5 separate regions of the Mus musculus genome follow, and regions 1, 2, 3 and 4 are each reported to be linked to region 5. Evidence: microRNA targets listed by miRTarBase, many of them from high-throughput screens and not tested one by one. Region 5 holds a microRNA gene; each other region holds the end of a gene's coding sequence.

Evidence for each region. Region 5 holds the annotated microRNA mmu-miR-301b-3p (CAGUGCAAUGGUAUUGUCAAAGC, at 2,811-2,833, shown strand). A microRNA usually pairs through its seed, bases 2 to 8, with sites in the 3' UTR of a target mRNA and lowers its output. Matches are read on the target gene's strand: a 7mer-m8 pairs with bases 2 to 8, a 7mer-A1 pairs with bases 2 to 7 and ends in A, and an 8mer does both.
Region 1: miRTarBase lists Hlf as a target of mmu-miR-301b-3p. Seed matches in the 3' UTR shown: 7mer-m8 at 1,838-1,844 and 7mer-m8 at 10-16.
Region 2: the mRNA of Cav1 is a reported target of mmu-miR-301b-3p. Seed matches in the 3' UTR shown: 7mer-m8 at 865-871.
Region 3: the mRNA of Psme4 is a reported target of mmu-miR-301b-3p. The part of its 3' UTR that is shown has no 7-base or 8-base seed match.
Region 4: miRTarBase lists Enpp4 as a target of mmu-miR-301b-3p. Seed matches in the 3' UTR shown: 8mer at 2,694-2,701 and 7mer-m8 at 2,886-2,892.

What each region holds. Positions count from the first base shown.
Region 1 is chr11:90,338,162-90,341,161 of GRCm38, forward strand. Hlf (hepatic leukemia factor) reads right to left here. Exons shown (of 4, transcript NM_172563.3): 4 at 1-2,813. The coding sequence ends at 2,598. Among named protein-coding and RNA genes, the nearest start is that of Hlf, 51 kb to the right of the region's middle.
Region 2 is chr6:17,339,292-17,342,291 of GRCm38, forward strand. Cav1 (caveolin 1, caveolae protein) reads left to right here. Exons shown (of 3, transcript NM_007616.4): 3 at 1-2,037. The coding sequence ends at 163. Among named protein-coding and RNA genes, the nearest start is that of Cav1, 34 kb to the left of the region's middle.
Region 3 is chr11:30,878,348-30,881,347 of GRCm38, forward strand. Psme4 (proteasome (prosome, macropain) activator subunit 4) reads left to right here. Exons shown (of 47, transcript NM_134013.3): 46 at 32-170; 47 at 1,317-2,014. The coding sequence ends at 166. It also overlaps a transcript of Erlec1 not described here. Among named protein-coding and RNA genes, the nearest start is that of Gpr75, 5.5 kb to the right of the region's middle.
Region 4 is chr17:44,096,495-44,099,494 of GRCm38, reverse strand. Enpp4 (ectonucleotide pyrophosphatase/phosphodiesterase 4) reads left to right here. Exons shown (of 4, transcript NM_199016.2): 4 at 1-3,000. The coding sequence ends at 182. Among named protein-coding and RNA genes, the nearest start is that of Gm34917, 7.8 kb to the left of the region's middle.
Region 5 is chr16:17,122,680-17,127,252 of GRCm38, reverse strand. Mir301b (microRNA 301b) reads left to right here and starts at 2,757; the gene lies at 2,757-2,853. 2610318N02Rik (RIKEN cDNA 2610318N02 gene) reads left to right here and starts at 2,051. Exons shown (of 7, transcript NM_001358255.1): 1 at 2,051-2,263. It overlaps Mir130b (microRNA 130b), which reads left to right and starts at 3,111; the gene lies at 3,111-3,192.

The sequences.
Region 1 (3,000 bases), not on the chromosome of region 5:
GTGGGCCACAGTGCAACCCTTGAACACTTCTCTCCTTAAGTACTCATCTGTGCCCTGGCAAGCACTGTCATTGAACAGTTCTGCAATCCCTCTCTTTCTCTATCTTCAAAAGGACCAACTTTTTGGTGTCCCATGGCTATTACTGAATTATCTCTTATTCAGTTCTATACAACATGGTTGAAACATTTTTTTTAATCAGTAATTTGCTTGCAAAATGTATTTTATTTCTCTCACTCTCTCATCTCTCACCGTGGAATACAACAGGAACCTGGGAAGAAACCTACAGGTCTCGTTTTCCAGATCTGTGACACTGGACAGCGGAGTGGCTGAGGGAGGGGGGAGGGCATCACTGGATCCGCAGAGAAGTCAGATACTGTGGAGGCAGGAGACCGGAAAACATCCATGGATGGAAGGGGATTTTAATCGAGCACAAAAATGTGCTTTTGAAGAAACAGCAGACTCTCTTGACATTATACAACTCAGTGAAACAAAATAACAGCCATCTTTAAAGTCAAAACAGCTATCAAACTCTAAGCCGTACACATAGCACCGAGGTCAACCTTACACTGCGTGAGATAGATACACAGGCCGAAAGCGAACAAAATCATCTGGGGCTCTGGCAGCCATACTCCATTCCAACGACTCAGAATCCTGAAGTGAACATTTATGTGGCAGATGCTTTTCCTAAAAAACACTGGATCATCCAATAAATATTTGACTAAAACCCGTTTTGTGCTTTTGGGTGACGTTAACTGACTTCCTTCTGAGACCTAATAAGAAACAAGAAAGCGTTGGAGCAGGAGTCGTCACAGCAAGCCTCAGTATTGTCATAAAATTTTAATTTTAAGCAGAAAACATGCTGATGTGTCAGTAATAGGTTTAAAATATTAAAGATTTCAAAAGCCCCCAAGCACTCCTCTGAACAGCATTGGTGAATATATATCTTTGCTATATAATTTTAAAACACGGAATAGTTTTCCTTTTTTTCTCTTTTCTATATATAATATATGTCTTCCAAAATACATTGTCAGTATTTATATCTGAAAAATACTGTACAAAAAAAGAACTTCCTATAATTACTCTGTATAAACATTAAACGATTTAATAATCTCTCCTTTTGGTCTATAGTAAACATTTAAATTGATCGGAGAAACCACAGTTTGTGACAACACCATCCCATTCTGAGATACACCAGTGTCTTTTACATTCATTTTTTTTTTCAGAAGTCCACTTGATAGGCGCACATATGTTCAAAAGCAAACAGAGGATGAGAAACACGGGCTCCGGAATCATTCATTTGTGAGGCATTCAAAAGGACACCACGGGGGGTGGGGGTGGGGGTCAAGGGAGGGCTTTTCAAAACATCAACTTTTTCACTTAATTAACTGATTTCTAAAAACAGCAAAATATCGTCCCCCCCCCAAATATATATATTATAAAACAAAGTGGGTAAACTGAATCTTAAGTCAATCGTTTTGAATATCAAGAGGGAAATGGAGAAAGTGAATGGGCTAGAAAAGTGGGAATGGGCTGGGTGTGGGAAGGGGAGACGCACGACGAAGCACACCGTGGCAAAGGCTTCTCCAAGATGCATTATTATTATGTTTTTGGCATACATACTGATAAATTAACCCCTCATTCTTAGGCCTTCCCTTGCCCTCTGCTTCCCTGTCCTGAGAATATTCTGGTCATGCACAAATGCATTACTTGATTTTTGAGTTTTTTTTTTAAAAGACAGTGAAATTCCTAGGTAGGGAATTTTTTTTCCTACGTCCACTAGTTAATACTCAGGCAGCATGCTCTAGCGTACACTAGGATTATTGCTTTAGGTACAGACAGTGCAAAACACACTCTGTGTTCTATAAGGAATGGTACTTACTTATCTGGGGTTGGTGGAATTAAAAGGAAACTTAGTAGGTAGCAGTAAGTAAATATGGGACTCTACTAAATCTAAACAGCACTTTAAATTTGAAGACAAGTGTCACCAAAACTGAAAGGAAAAAACGAGAAAGGGTGGGGAGGAAAAAGGGAAGGGAAGTGGGGCAACCTATGAAGGAATTCAGCTGCGCGCAGTGCTAGGGTATGCTATGCACCTTTCCAGCATGGTAATTCATGGCTGAAACAGAAACAAGAGCTTATGGTCTTGATCACTGAGATCCAGGGCCCTGCTTCCTGAAGCAACACAGACCCTGGCCAAGTGAGATCGCTAGAACACAGAGCAAGGCAGAAAGGGGCAGGAAGGGAGAAGGAAGGGGAGGAAACCCCATGGGAGTCTCCAGGGTGGAATAAAAAACATGGCACCTTTCTTGTTTGGAACTAAAAGACAACAAGAGGACTATCTTTAAACGACAAGTGTGAAGGAATACACACATATACACGCTCACACATGCACACCGCTGACCACACATGGGACCATAAGCACATATACACACACACAAACATACATACATACGCATAGATGCACACCAAAATATGAGTCAGTTGCGTTTATGCCTCTGGTAAAGTGCTGATGTCAGAAAGGTTGGTTTGGGTGTGGGGCTACCAGACAGGAAACAAGCTGTCCATCTATTCAAAAGCCAGCCCACAAAAATGCCATCTTACAGGGGCCCGTGCCTGGCCTCGTACTTGGCAAGTATGTTCTTGCATTTGCCCAGCTCCTTCCTTAAATCAGCCACCTCCTGGCGGAGGGCCGAGTTCTCCTTCTCCAGGAATGAGGCCCGGATTGCGATCTGGTTCTCCTTCAGCCGCCGGGCATCACGGGAGCGCTTGGCCGCCATGTTGTTCTTTCTGCGCCTCGCCCAGTACTTGTCATCCTGCTCATTAGTTACAGAAGGAAAAAGAAACAAGATATTAGGTTTCAGCAGCACTGGGTGGCAGCCAGGGGTGTGCTGAGATACCAGCCTGGGTTTCTTCATTTCTGTCTCCTTCCTTTTCAGCTTCTACATGTCTGAGGGTATGATCTGCCAGCCATGGCTTTGGTCCTAGAGAAAGGACCAACCT
Region 2 (3,000 bases), not on the chromosome of region 5:
GCACATCTGGGCGGTTGTACCGTGCATCAAGAGCTTCCTGATTGAGATTCAGTGCATCAGCCGCGTCTACTCCATCTACGTCCATACCTTCTGCGATCCACTCTTTGAAGCTATTGGCAAGATATTCAGCAACATCCGCATCAGCACGCAGAAAGAGATATGAGGGACATTTCAAGGATGAAAGGTTTTTTTCCCCCCTTACTATTTCCTTGGTGCCAATTCCAAGTTGCTCTCGCAGCAGCAAATTTATGAATGGTTTGTCTTGATCAAGAACAAAGAATTCATTCCCACCATTCTCATATATACTACTTGTCTCTTCTAAGCTACTGCATCTATGTTTGACAGTCTGGAATGTTTAAACCCATTCCTGCTCTCTCTTTTATATGTGAATCATTGTTTCATTGGCTAAAATATAAACATATTGTTGAAAGATGATTTGAGAAAAATAGGAAGGACTGGGAGGCAGGGAAGAGTACCAACAACCTCAACTGCCTACTCAAAGGTGATGATGTCATACAAAGGGAAGAGATTCAGGTTACGGCCATTTGTTTAGGGGCATGAAGGAACGTTTTTAATATATGCCAGTTATCTAAGGAATTGGTTGCTGTCCTCACTCTTAACAATCCAGTTAGATTTAGGGATTTAGGGATCACCATCAATTTGGAGACTATAATCTTCATGATACCAACAATGTTTTACTTATCCTGGCATTTTAACCTGTTATTTTGTATGCCTGAATATTTGCTATACTGAGAATAAGACCTACGTGCCTTCTAATTTTTCATGTTTTTTTTTTTTCCAAATAGGATCTAACTCATCTACTTGCATGATGCCGGCAGCTTTCCTAAAAACAAAACATACAAATTGCACTTGCTAGTTCTCTGTACTTGTTTCTGACTCTGAAATACAGAACCTGTTGATGTTGATATCTGTGCTCAGCTATGTAGCATCTTTCTCTCTGTTAAGCCTGGTCAACATTAACCCAATGAAATGATTTGAAGCAGACAAATGGGGGTGAGACCTCTCTGGACTGGCAGAAGTAGAAGCCAGCTTTCCCTGCCACTCAGCAACTGAATGAGGCCAGCGTGTCTATTCAGTTTCACTCATTTTCAAGAATAATCACAGGTTCCTGACTCTAAGCCAGCCCCTCACCAGGATCAAGGTTTAGTGACTGACTGGGATGATTTAGGAGCTCAACATTGTACTTCCTTTTCAGCTGATGAGTGAACCTCCAGGGAGGGGTGTCAAAAAGGAGGCTGCTAAACCGAGACTGCCAAGCCTGTTGTAAACATGACCCCTTTTATGCAAAGCCCTTGCAATAGTCTGCAATGCTGTGAAGCTCGACCTTTCCCCCTGCAAGGAACCTTTGACCTAATCCAACCATCATTTTGTTCAGAAAGGTGGGGGAAGGGTGGTAACAAAAGCTTGAGGTAATGTTCTTGCTGTAATAAATTCAAGTTTTTCTGAACCCAAACTGAGGAATTTCACCTGTGTACCTGAGTCTCCAGAAAGCTGCCTGCCTGGGACACCCAAAAGCCTTTTACTTCCCAGCTCACATTACAGCTCTGCCCTTGGGGATATTTTTAAAATTCCAGATAGGCTTTCATTTTCACTTTCATACATGTATTGGAACCCTGCTTGACTTGTTTTCTCCTTCAGTCTTGCCGACACTTTACCAACCTGCTACCTACTTTGATTGTTTGCATTTAAAACAGACACTGGCATGGCCACAGTTTGAATTTTAAACTGTGCACATAACTGAAAGTGTACTAGACTGTATACCTTTTTACATGTAGAGATATTCTTTATCTTTATATAAGGAGAATCACTTGGGAAATGATTCTACAATTCAGTCTGTAAACTGTGTGTTCCAAGACATGTCTGTTCTCCCTAGATACTCAGTTTTATACAAGTCAATTGCTGATCCAAAAGGTTACTGAAATTTTATATGCTTACTGATATATTTTACACTTTTTTATGCTGCATGTCCTATAAAGATTTCAAATCTGCACAATAAAATTGTTTAACAGTTACGCAGTTTTGTTTGTATGTGTGTCTGTCTGTATGTATGTAGTAAGCAAGTATACAATGCATATTTGTATGTTTGTATAATGTTTGGGGGTAGCAAACTTCTCAAATATTAAAAATTAATTTAAGTGGGATTTTTCTGCTAAAAGTCATTGCTATTCATGGATTACTTCAAATAGTTTAGTTGTAATTTATAACTAATTTAAAGCCATTTTAGTAATTTATGCAATGATTTATTATCTACTAATCTGAGTTCCAGTAACCATATGTCATGGATATTAATATTGTCATCTAGTTCCACCTAAATTTACATTTGGAATTCTGTATTAAAGTGTTCTAAAGATACAAATCCACAGGACAGGGACAGGAATGATAAAGATGGAGATTAAGAAAGAAACTAAGGACGAGTGTGGTGGTGCACGCCTTTAATACCAGCACTTGGGAGGCAGAGGCAGGCAGATTTCTGAGTTCGAGGCCAGCCTGGTCTTCAAAGTGAGTTCCAGGATAGCCAGGGCTGTACAGAGAAACCCTGTCTTGAAAAACCAAGAAAGAGAGAAAGAAAGAGAGAGAGGGGGGGGGGAGGAGGGAGGGAGGAAGGAAGAAAGAAACTAAGATAAAAACAAAGAAGAAAAGATTTATCAAAAATAACTTGGCTTCATTTTGGGATACTGGCAATTTCTAGAAGGTGAACCAGGATGCTGGGGATCCCACTCAGGGGCCTGTGAGCTCAAGACTCCAGAAAAACTACTATCTGGTTTTCCAATGAAAATGATGGGAGGAAAATGATATGCCAAGCAGGAGGACCTCTGTCTGACTCAAGTGAAGGCCAATTTCTTGTTCTATTCAGATCTTCAACTGATTGAATGAGGTCTACCCATGTGAAAGAGGGCAACTTGCTTTATGCAGTCTAGCAATTGAAATAGCAATGCCATTGAAACCACTCTTGAAGGAACCATGACATAATGGTTGACC
Region 3 (3,000 bases), not on the chromosome of region 5:
AGAGGTTAAAATGTATATGGGTCAATTACAGATGACTGTAAAGAAGACCTTATCCAATTTCCGAAGGACACATCATGACAACTGGCAAGAACACAAGCAGCAGTTCACTGATGACCAGCTGCTTGTCCTCACTGACCTCCTTGTGTCACCATGCTATTATGCATAGAGGGGTGAGTTACATGGGTCTTTCCCAGCATGTGTCGTCCTACCAGTAGCCAAGGAAATACCTACAAGATTTTAAGGTTTGCTAACATTTTAGATGTAACTGCTTAGATAAAGTGAAGAGAGTTCTTTGTTTTGACTTTTGGAGACAGGGACAGCTATGTAGACCAGGCTAGCCGTGCATTTGAGATTCCCCTACCATAGTCTCATGAACACTAGGATTGCAGCTATGTGTCACCACACTTGAATGCTTTTAAACATGACTTTTGAGGTAGGGGGTAGATAGTTTAGAGGAAGAGCCCAAATTTAGCAAAGATGAGACCCTAATTCGATTTCCAGTGCTGAGGTAAACAAACATGGTAGCCTGTGCCTGTACCCTCAGAGGATTTTGTTGGGTTGATTGTAAATACAGCTTTGTCTGTGGTCAGTGGAAATAACTATTATAGAATTTTTCTTGATTTTTGTTTCCATTGTTAGGGAGGCAATTTATGTGACTGTATTGGGACAGTTAGAAAATAAGTAACTTGCATCAGTAGCCTGGGATAGTCAGGTGAAAGAAAAGAAGTTGGGGTTGTACTAGGAACTCTGGTTTCTACAATCATGAGAACACTTCATCTGGATGTTTTTAAATGTGTATGAATCTTCGACTTGTATTTGTGTATATTCACATGAGCATGCCGTCCGTGCCTTTGGCGGCCAGAAGAGGGAACTGAGTTATAGATAGTTGTAAGCCTCCCTGTGGCTGCTGGGAACAGATACATATGCTCTTAACTGCTAAGCCATCTCTCTGTCTCATCATCTGGATTCTTTTGTTCATTTGTTTATTTGGTTTTTGTTTTGTTAATTTTCAGATAGAGTTTTTATCTCTATGTAGCCCTGGGTAGCCTAGAAATCACTATGTTGAACAGGTGGCCTCAGAGCTCTTTCTGCCTCCACCCCTCCCCTTTCTCAAATGCTAGTATTAAAGGCATTCCCTACCATGCACAACTCATCTAAATTCCTAAGTGCTTATTACATTTCTGTAAAAACAGAGGGCCAGAAAGTCTTTGTATAGACAAAGGTAAGGAGAATAAACACAATCTGTTTGGTGGGATTTTAGAACTGAGTGTTTTGATAATCTGACATAATTTTTTGTTTTATTTTTCTTAATGCAGATGACTAGTCCTCATTCTGGGCTCATTTCATCAAAAACTCCAGATCCTCAGGTATCATCCGTGGTGACTCTGCAAGTTTCACAACTCAGCTTCTCTTGAGCTTTCATCATTTTGGTGGCTTCTCTGTTTGGCCTCATTAGTCTTCGCTCACAGGTTCTCAGCTGCCATTTGATTTCCTAACTTGTTCTGAAGTGTTCCCTGAGTACTGATCACTTTTTCTTTTGAGACATATGACAAAGTCACAAAGTCTCAGACTAGAAGTAGCCTAGTACTATCATGGTATTATGACCAAACAGTCTCGAACGTTGTTAAAAACAACAATGTCCTCGGAATGGAGAATGCTCATCAATTATGTAGGTTCTCTCATTTCATTCATCTCACGTTATTTTGAGTTCTTCCCCAAAGGCTGTTGAGTTTAGCATTAGTAGGGCCATGGGTCATGAATCTGAAGTTTTGACCGCCTTGTGTCTAGAGAGCCATGAAGAGAAAAGGATCAAAGGGGGCAAAGTCTCAGAGTTAACCTAGAACCTGACACGCTCAACCACACTGCAGATGTCTGTATCTCCACAGACTGGAGTTTTTGGTGCTGAGTAAGAGCCAATTGCTGAAAAACTGGGGGTTTGGTGAATAAATTTTAGACTGATTTGTATGTGTATACAATGTGTGATTTTAAAAATAAAAAAGAACATCAATAAACACCATGGCTGATTGTTTTTTACCCTGTAGTCCATACAAATATTGTTTTACACCCCACCTTGAAATACATTACACTTCAAATGAGTGGAAGATTGCAGTTTTTGATCTCTCTCCCTCTTCTTCTCCCTTTCTGTCTCCCTCTCCCCCCCCTTTTTCACTCTCTTTCCCTCTCCCCCTCTCTCCCCTCTACCTGTATGCCTGCCTACAGAATCACTAATATTAATAAGTCTTGATATTTGACTTGTTTAGTATGTTATGTAGATGTAAAAGATTGTACAATAAACTGTAGAGATAACACTGACAAGATTTTGTACAGATGCAACCCTTAACGCAGACCATTGTGTGACTTGTTTTTTTGGTGTATGTTTTTAAGTTATATTCTTTATCTTCTCGTGTTACAAAAGCTGAAACATAGGTTTTAGGTTTTTTTAAATTTATTTACTAGAATATCTGGATTTTTATGTACCTTTTTTGTGTGCATTTTTAAATGATAACATGTTTGCCTATCACAACTTTATAGAGTGCAAGTTATCTTCTAGTTGGAATAATTCACAAGTTGATAAATGTCATCTTTTAACACACTCTTTACAATCTTCCTTAAAGGAATACTACAGTCATTTTTTAGTATCTCTATGCCGAGTGTCTCAATATACACATACAGTAGTGGGCTTGTTACAGTACTGAAGTGTCGCCATACCCAGGCATAATCCCCGTACAGAATAGTACCTAATGAATAGTCAATTCAACTGTGTAACTAGTTTTAAAAACCGAATAAAATGGACTGTTTTTAATACCTGACTTTTATCTGAAGAGAAGACAGTTCAGTTGGGAGCAACTTTTGTGGGTTCTTTTTGCCTTCTTAGATTTAGATCTGTGACTTTCTTCCCACTTAGAATGAATTGTGGCCAGAATGAATGATCTAATTCTGCTCTGTTGAGTGCAGTAGCCAGGCTCACTAGGTGTGCTTTAAGTGGTAATTAGCCATGTA
Region 4 (3,000 bases), not on the chromosome of region 5:
GCTTGTTGGTGGACCAGTGGTGCATTAATCTCCCAGAAGCCATTGGAATTGTTGTTAGTGCACTATTGGTATTAACCATGCTAACAGGCCTCATGATATTCATGCGGAGCAGAGCATCCACATCCCGTCCATTCTCCCGTCTTCAGCTGCAGGAAGATGACGATGACCCTTTAATTGATTAATTCACCATGTCTTATTAATTTCAAAACTAAGGATCCATGCAAGGAGTGGTGTTACAGCCATAAAAAAGGTATATTTCAAAAGACAAGACACACATGGCAAAATTACTCTGGGGTGTGTGTGTGTGTGTGTGTGTGTGTGTGTGTGTGCCCTGTTTTGGTGTGTTGCCTGATGCAAATAACCCTGATGGTATTTAATTGCTGGTAAATCAGTTCAAACCACTAATGTCCCTAGCAAGACTAGCCTTTGAGAAAAAACAAAACAAAACAAAAAAACAAAACAAAACTTGAGTCCTTCTTCCTTCTTTCCTTCCTTCCTTCTTTCTTTCCTTCCTTCCTTCTTTCCATTATTCTTCCTTTCTTCTTTCTTTACTTTCAATGAAATATATCTTTAAGTGAAAATATACCAGAATTTAATAGGCATGCTTTTCTAACAAGTTTATATATTTGTAAATGACACAAAACTATTTATGTAATTTGTGCATTTTGTGTACCCTAGAGAAAAAGTTGCATATATTTTTATATTTGTCTTTAGTTAGTGTGTGTCCCAAGAAAACCCTTGAGATAGGAAATTCTGTGATAGTTAATAAAACCGATTAGCCACAGGGCATAACTGTAGCATACAAAGAAACTGTTTTAAATAAAGCTGCTAAAAACAATCAAAACCCAAGGAAGACTATGTGATGTAGAGCCCGAGCTTAGTAAGACCCGTCAGCTGTTGACACCTCAGAAGCTGAGTCTGGGGCTGGGCACAGTGGTGCACACAAGTAGGAAAGATGAGGCAGAGGCCTTGAGATGGAGTCCAGCTTGGTTACATAGCAATACCTTGGGGTTTTGTTTGTTCATCTGTTTGTTTTAGTTACATTTTTGGATACTATTGTTTATAAGAAGTTTCAAAGAGCATAGAGAAAAATTCTTCTCTGTTTGTGTTTAACGTCTCTGAGCAAGTTGTGTGTGCCAGTGTGTTTGTATGAGTGAATGTGCAGAGGTCATGTGACATGTGAAAGGGACATGTGCCAGAACACAGCTGTCGAGGAAGGTTCGGCTCAAGGAAAGGCTACTTCTTGCAGACTTTATGCGCATACTTTTACCAACTCATAACTTAATATCACTATTAAAAATACCATATTTTTGTTATAATTTTCAATTCTCATGTTTATTGGAAGTGTTCAATGCTGTAGGAAAAAAAATATGACGAGAGTATAAAGCTGCAAGGTCAGGGTTTTGAACTTGACCTTTGTGGCTCTTGAATGTGCCTTCTGTGCAGTCGAGTGGTCAGCCATGTAAAATGGAGTTGAGTGTCTTCTGCCCTGGCAGCAGCTGCGTGCTAAGGGCAGAGCAGCTCCAGCCCTGCTACTGCTCGCTTGCTCGCCTGACTCATCATAACTCCGAGAACCAGAGAGTTGTTGGGAAGCACTGTCATCATTCACTCCCTCCACAGCTGGGTCCTCAGAGCCAGAGCTATCAAAACAGCCTACATGATGTCCATTGGACAACAGACCACTGCTTCCTGGTACTGGGGTGATCTCCCGCATTCTGACAACGTAAAGCAAACTTGATTATTGCTCTTGAGACGCAAGATGGGTCTAAAGTATGCAGTGCAGGTAGACACCGATGATCCGTGATGACTCTCGACACTTGTCAGTCATCTTAGATTTATTGCGCTGAACTGGCTCACTGTGAATTTCCTTAAAGTTTGATGTCTGGAGCCTCATTGTATTTGGGTTTTGAGAGGCATTTCTGTACTGCGTACATAATCTATGCTCTTGGTCACAGAATGGATGTTTTAAGAACAGGATAGGAATGATTTTGTTCATAAGTGTTCTGATTTATTTTGTTACATGCAGTAGAGATACTAAAGGTTGAAGGGTTGATCAAGTAAAACAATAGAGAAATCTCTGCTTATTTCAATTTCCATTTAAGAAAGTAACAAACTGCAATATTCGCTTTGAGAAGAAGTAGGTGGGCACTTAGGACTTGTCTCCAGCAGAGTTGAAGACAGTTTAGCTCCCACAGTGCTGCGGATCCCAGCACAATCCCAGTGCGGTCTCCTTCCCCTGGCTGCACCTTACACTTGGTGTCCATGTGTAGAACAGACTTTTATAAAGGCTGGGATGGGAAGGGATGCTCTGCCAGTGTCTTAGTCCTTGCAGCACATGGATTTATTTTGTATTTTATTCTGTTCTCAGAATACTAAAACTAGTTAAAATGTTATAAAGTGCTTATTCAGGAGACAAGAATAGTATTTGTTTAATCAAGTATATTATCATATTGAACTTTCTGCTAGTTCGTTTGTATCCTTGAAAAACAAAAACTAAAGCCCCTGGCTGTAGTTTTGCTCTGAGAAAACCTTCTTAGTAAAGATAGGCTTTGACATGGAGATTTAGTGTTTGTGTTAGCTAAACCTGCTCTGCTTTCTGTTCAGGAGAAAATATTTGGCTTCCAAAATATTTAGCTCTTGGTGATAGTACCCAAAGATAATGGGAACGTGTTTGTCTGTGTACTTGTTGGTAATTGCACTAGTCAGCTCAGAATTTAGTACCTTGACTCTCTAGTAGAGGTCCAGGTGTGTTCCTGTTAGCCACCTATCATGTGTGCTCTTCTGTAAAAGCAGTAGGGTATGGCAAAGGCGTGCTGGCAGTGCTGCCCAGAAGGTTTCCTTTAAGAACCCACAGGTAAAGCCTTGGGATATTAAAGGCTCTGCCTTTGCACTGGTCTTGGATGTATCCCTCTCTGCCCACCTGGGAAGCTTTAAGGCTTGTTGGCTTTAATTCTTTTTGTGAAGAGTGGCTCATTTCATTTTTAATTTATAACATTACAA
Region 5 (4,573 bases):
TCCTGAGGGGAGGGAGTTATGTCTTGGACCATTACTCCCCTGTCTGTAAGAGACTTGGTCTTTCCACTGACAAACTTTTATTTTGAGACAGGTTTTACCATGCGACCCTGGCTAATCTGAAACTCGCTATGTAGCCTGGTCTCCTTGAATTCATAGAGATCCACCTGCCTTTGTCTCCCAGGTACTAGGATTAAAGATGTGTACTAATGTGCCTTGATCTATTGCCAAACTTTTAAATGCCATTTTAAAGTGTGTGTGTGTGTGTGTGTGTGTGTGTGTGTGTGTGTGTGTGTGAATATGAACATGAGTTAGGTGTCCTCAGAGGTCAGAAGAGGGTGTTGGATTTCCTGGAGCTGGGACTGCAGGTGGCTGTAAGCCATCTAGTATGGCTGGGGAACTCATTTAAGTCCAATTTTAACAGTTCTGCAAGAGTAGTACTCGATTTTGACAGCCATGCCATCAATCTCTCCAGCCCCCAAACTCATGGAGCAGAAAAGTTGCTTCCATGCAGAATGCAAAACATTACAAATGAAAAGCACAGGAGCAGCAGCAAAACACTTTAATTTTACATTTGATTTTTATTTTTATGTGTATGGGTGTTTTGACTGCCCATATGTCTATGCATGCAATGGCTTTAGAGACCAGAAGACGATACTGGACTGGAGTTACAGATGCCTTTGAGACAACTTGTGGATCCTGGGCATGGAACCTGAGTCCTCTGGAAGAGCAGCCAACCCTCTTAACCACTGAGCCTTCTTTCTGGTGAGCCCCCTCTCTTTAAAGACAGTATTTCATGTAGTTCAGGCTGGTCTTGAACTTCTGGCTCTTTTCTCCACTTCCCAAATGTTGGAATTTCTGGATGTTTTATTTTGTATCTGTGTGGAGCGATGCAGTGTGGTGGCTGTATCCCCAGTACTGCAAAAACCTAGGAGGATTACCATAAGCACAAGGCTAGCCTGGTCTACTCTGTGAGTTCTCAACTAGCCAGCCGTGATATACGATGTCTCAAAAAACCAGCATTCTTTTTTTTCCCAAAGAAGACAAAACAATGTAGGGACTGAGATATTATGGGTCAGTGTTAATAGCATTGGTTGCTCTACCAGAGCATATGGGTTTCATTTCCAGCATGCATGTGTTTGCTTACAATCCTCTATAGTTTCAGTTGCAGAGGATAGAAAGCCTTTTGACCTCCCTGAACACTAGGCATGTACATGGTGGTACAGACAGGCAAACAAAGCACCCATACACAAAAAATTACATTTAAAATTAAGTGGACAAAATGAGTTCTTGAAGATCGAAAACCAGCTCTGTCTGCTTTAAAAATATTTTCTTTCAGCCTTTGAGCTGGGGGGTAAAGATTCCCTGTCTCATATGGATATAACTAGGGGTAAAGCTCAGACGCCAGCTGCAAAACTCTGTTTTTCCCTTCGCTGACAGAACTGAGTAGAACACCTCAGGTTCTGGGTGCTAGGTGCTGTGTATCTTTGGACATATTAGCTCAGAAAGGTCACTTAATGAACTCTTACCCATAAAGTGGTTCACATTCTCAATGACATCAATGACATCAGAGCATTTCTTCACTTACAAAAAGTGCCAGGGCCTCCTCAGCCCAGCCAGAGGTTTCCTGATGACGATGCTCTGAAGTTGGACAGAAAGAGGGAAGGCCACGGTTTTTAAGTAAATGTCCCATCCTGGAGGAGCAATGAACAAATTTCTCGCGAAATACGAAGCATCCCCTAGGGGTTCATTCAACCGCTGGCTTGGCCAAAGGACACTTTGCCGGGATCTCAGAGCCCTCGCTAATTTGGTGAGCTGTGTAGTAAGCATGGACGCGCCCTCATGAGTATCACTATAATAACTACAGAGAAATGAGCTGGGAAAAGGCGGACAGAGCTCCTTTTCAAGAGTTATGAATGAGGAGAAAGTGTTTGTAGAACTCATTGTTAAAACGGTGGAGCCAAAACTCGGGCGCCTGGCCAATCGGAGCCTGGAGGCTATTTTGAAATCTTTCCAGCAGCAGCCAATAGGTGCGCAGGAGGCAAAGCTTGGTGTAGGCGCAAGCCAATGAGGCTGGCGCTGTGCCTTGAGGCCCGGGGCTCGGCCCTCGGGACTGTCAGATGGTTAAAGATGGAGCCGAGGGAGAGAGGGCGCCACGAGGTGCTGAGGTGCGGGGTTGTCCAGATATGACGGGGCCGCCGCCTACCTGGATCTTCCACTAAGCTTCACCTTGTCCCCCTGGTGAGAACAAGAGGTGTCTGTCCACGTGAGTAACTGGTCTGGGATAGGGTGTGCGGTGAGGCCAGGGAAACTCCAGATGCCAGGAAGCCCTAGTTCTGCTCTTCTAGGCAGGAGAATCTGTTAGGATAGAGTGCAGAACTCATACTGGGGGAATGGACCAAGGACCGGATCTCGGACTCCAAGGGCCTCACGTGCAAGGAGTGAAGTATCCCTCTTATTCTAGTTCTGGTCTGAAACAGGGTACAAGTAGTCCCACTGTGCTCCCCTCTGCAACTGAGCGCAGGCCTCTCTCCTTTGTGTTTGAGCCCCCTCGGGTGCTCGCCCTTCAGCTCCCTCCTTGGAGTACCTCACCAGAATCAGAAGCCTGTTAGAGAAAGTTTGAGTTCCCTGAAGTTAATAAGTCCAGAGGACTGCATCCGGGCTGGAATCCCGTCTGTTCTCCGAGCTTGGATAGATGTCCCACCCACCCATGGTGGTTGAATTTCCAGCGCAGCCCTGCGTGCAGCGAGGGCGATGGATTTCCTGCTGGCTGCGGGTGCTCTGACTAGGTTGCACTACTGTGCTGTGAGAAGCAGTGCAATGGTATTGTCAAAGCATCTGGGACCAGCCTCGAAGACCACCTCACCTACTGTTCCTTCTTTCTTCCCTTTCCAGGCCTGGCCCCTCAGGCCTGCAGGCCGTACCCTCCCCCTGCTCATTTTACTCTCTTCTCCATGGAAACTTGAGATTGTAGCCAGGCCCGTGTCTCTGGGGTCAGAGGGCATCCTTTGCTCAGGCCGAGGCTCCGCCCAGGTGGGCATGCGTTCTAGGTCTAAGATCCCACTCCAGCCACCCCAACTCCCCATGCCCCGCCCCACCCCGTGAGACTGACAGGCTTGTTGGACACTCTTTCCCTGTTGCACTACTGTGGGCCTCTGGGAAGCAGTGCAATGATGAAAGGGCATCTGTCGGGCCAGCTAAGGAGCCTGAGGAACAAAAGGGTCAGTGCTTGGATCATAGTCTTAGATAGAGATAGCTATCTCTAGCTAAAAGGATAAGGTGGATGCTGAGAACCATATTCCAAGGCTGGAACCAGTACAAAGGGGAGACCCCAGATTTGGAAAGGCTCCAGTCTCAAGCTCTTAGCCCCCTCCCCCCAGGTTAAGATAGGGGAGTCTGCTGCAGGGGGCGCGGCGGTGAGTGAATGGTAGGTAGCTCATGCCTTAAATCTCAGCACTTGGAAGGCAAAGGCAGGTGGATCACCCAGATCTAGGGCATCCTGGTCTACATAGTGAGTTTTAGGACAGCCAGGGATACACAGAGAAACCGTGTTTTGAGAAAAACCAAATTAACTAATTAATTAATTAATCAATTAAAAAAGAAAGAAAGATTGGTGAGCCCATGTCTGGAGGCTGATGCAGGAAGATTGTCTCAGTTTTGAAGCTGTCTGAAGAATCAAAACAAAACTAGGAACTCCAGGACCTTGTGGAGAGAAACAGATGTTCACCTCTTTGTATGGAAAAGGTTTGTATACCTTGCTTAGCCTTGACTGCCTCGGGAAGAACTGGACTCAGCCTTTCCTGAGATAACCACACCTTGGGTTCACACCTTGAGGCTCAGAAGAAGTGTCCTGCCTGGGCCAGATGGATGGACTTGGAACAAGAAGCCTGCAGAGTAGGCCTGCCAGCCATGTCTGCTTGCTCCTTTACAAAGAGGGTATGTGCTGAGTAGGAGAGGCATGGAGGTGTCTGGTATGTCTGCTTTCCAGACAGGGCTGGAGCTCATTTTTATTTATTTATTTATTTATTTATTTATTTAATTTATATGAGTGCACTGTAGCTGTCTTCAGACACACCAGAAGAGGCCATCGGATCCCATTACAGATGGTTGTGAGCCACCATGTGGTTGCTGGGATTTGAACTCAGGACCCCTGGAAGAACAGTGCTCTTAACCACTGAGCCATCTCTCCAGCCCTGGAGCTGAATTTTTAAGGATGCCCGATCCTTAGTGTGCTTGCAGAGTTACCTTTAGCGGCAAGACCCAATGGCCCATGCCTTTGAATGCAGCACAGGGAAGGCATGGGTAGGTAGATCTCTGTGAGTTCAAGGACAACCTGGTCTACCCTGCACGTTCCAGAAGAGCTATATTTACATGGTAAAGCCCTGTTTCAATGCACCCACCCCTCTTTTACAAACAAACAAAAACCTAGTAGGAGGTGGTCAGGCCTGCCTCCTTGAGAGGAGGCCCAGGCTTCCAGATTCCCTTTTGGGAATAGATTGAGAAAATCAGCCTTAATAGTACTCTAGCTCCACAAGTCCTGGCACCCATGGGGACTGCTCTGATACATAATGAGTCT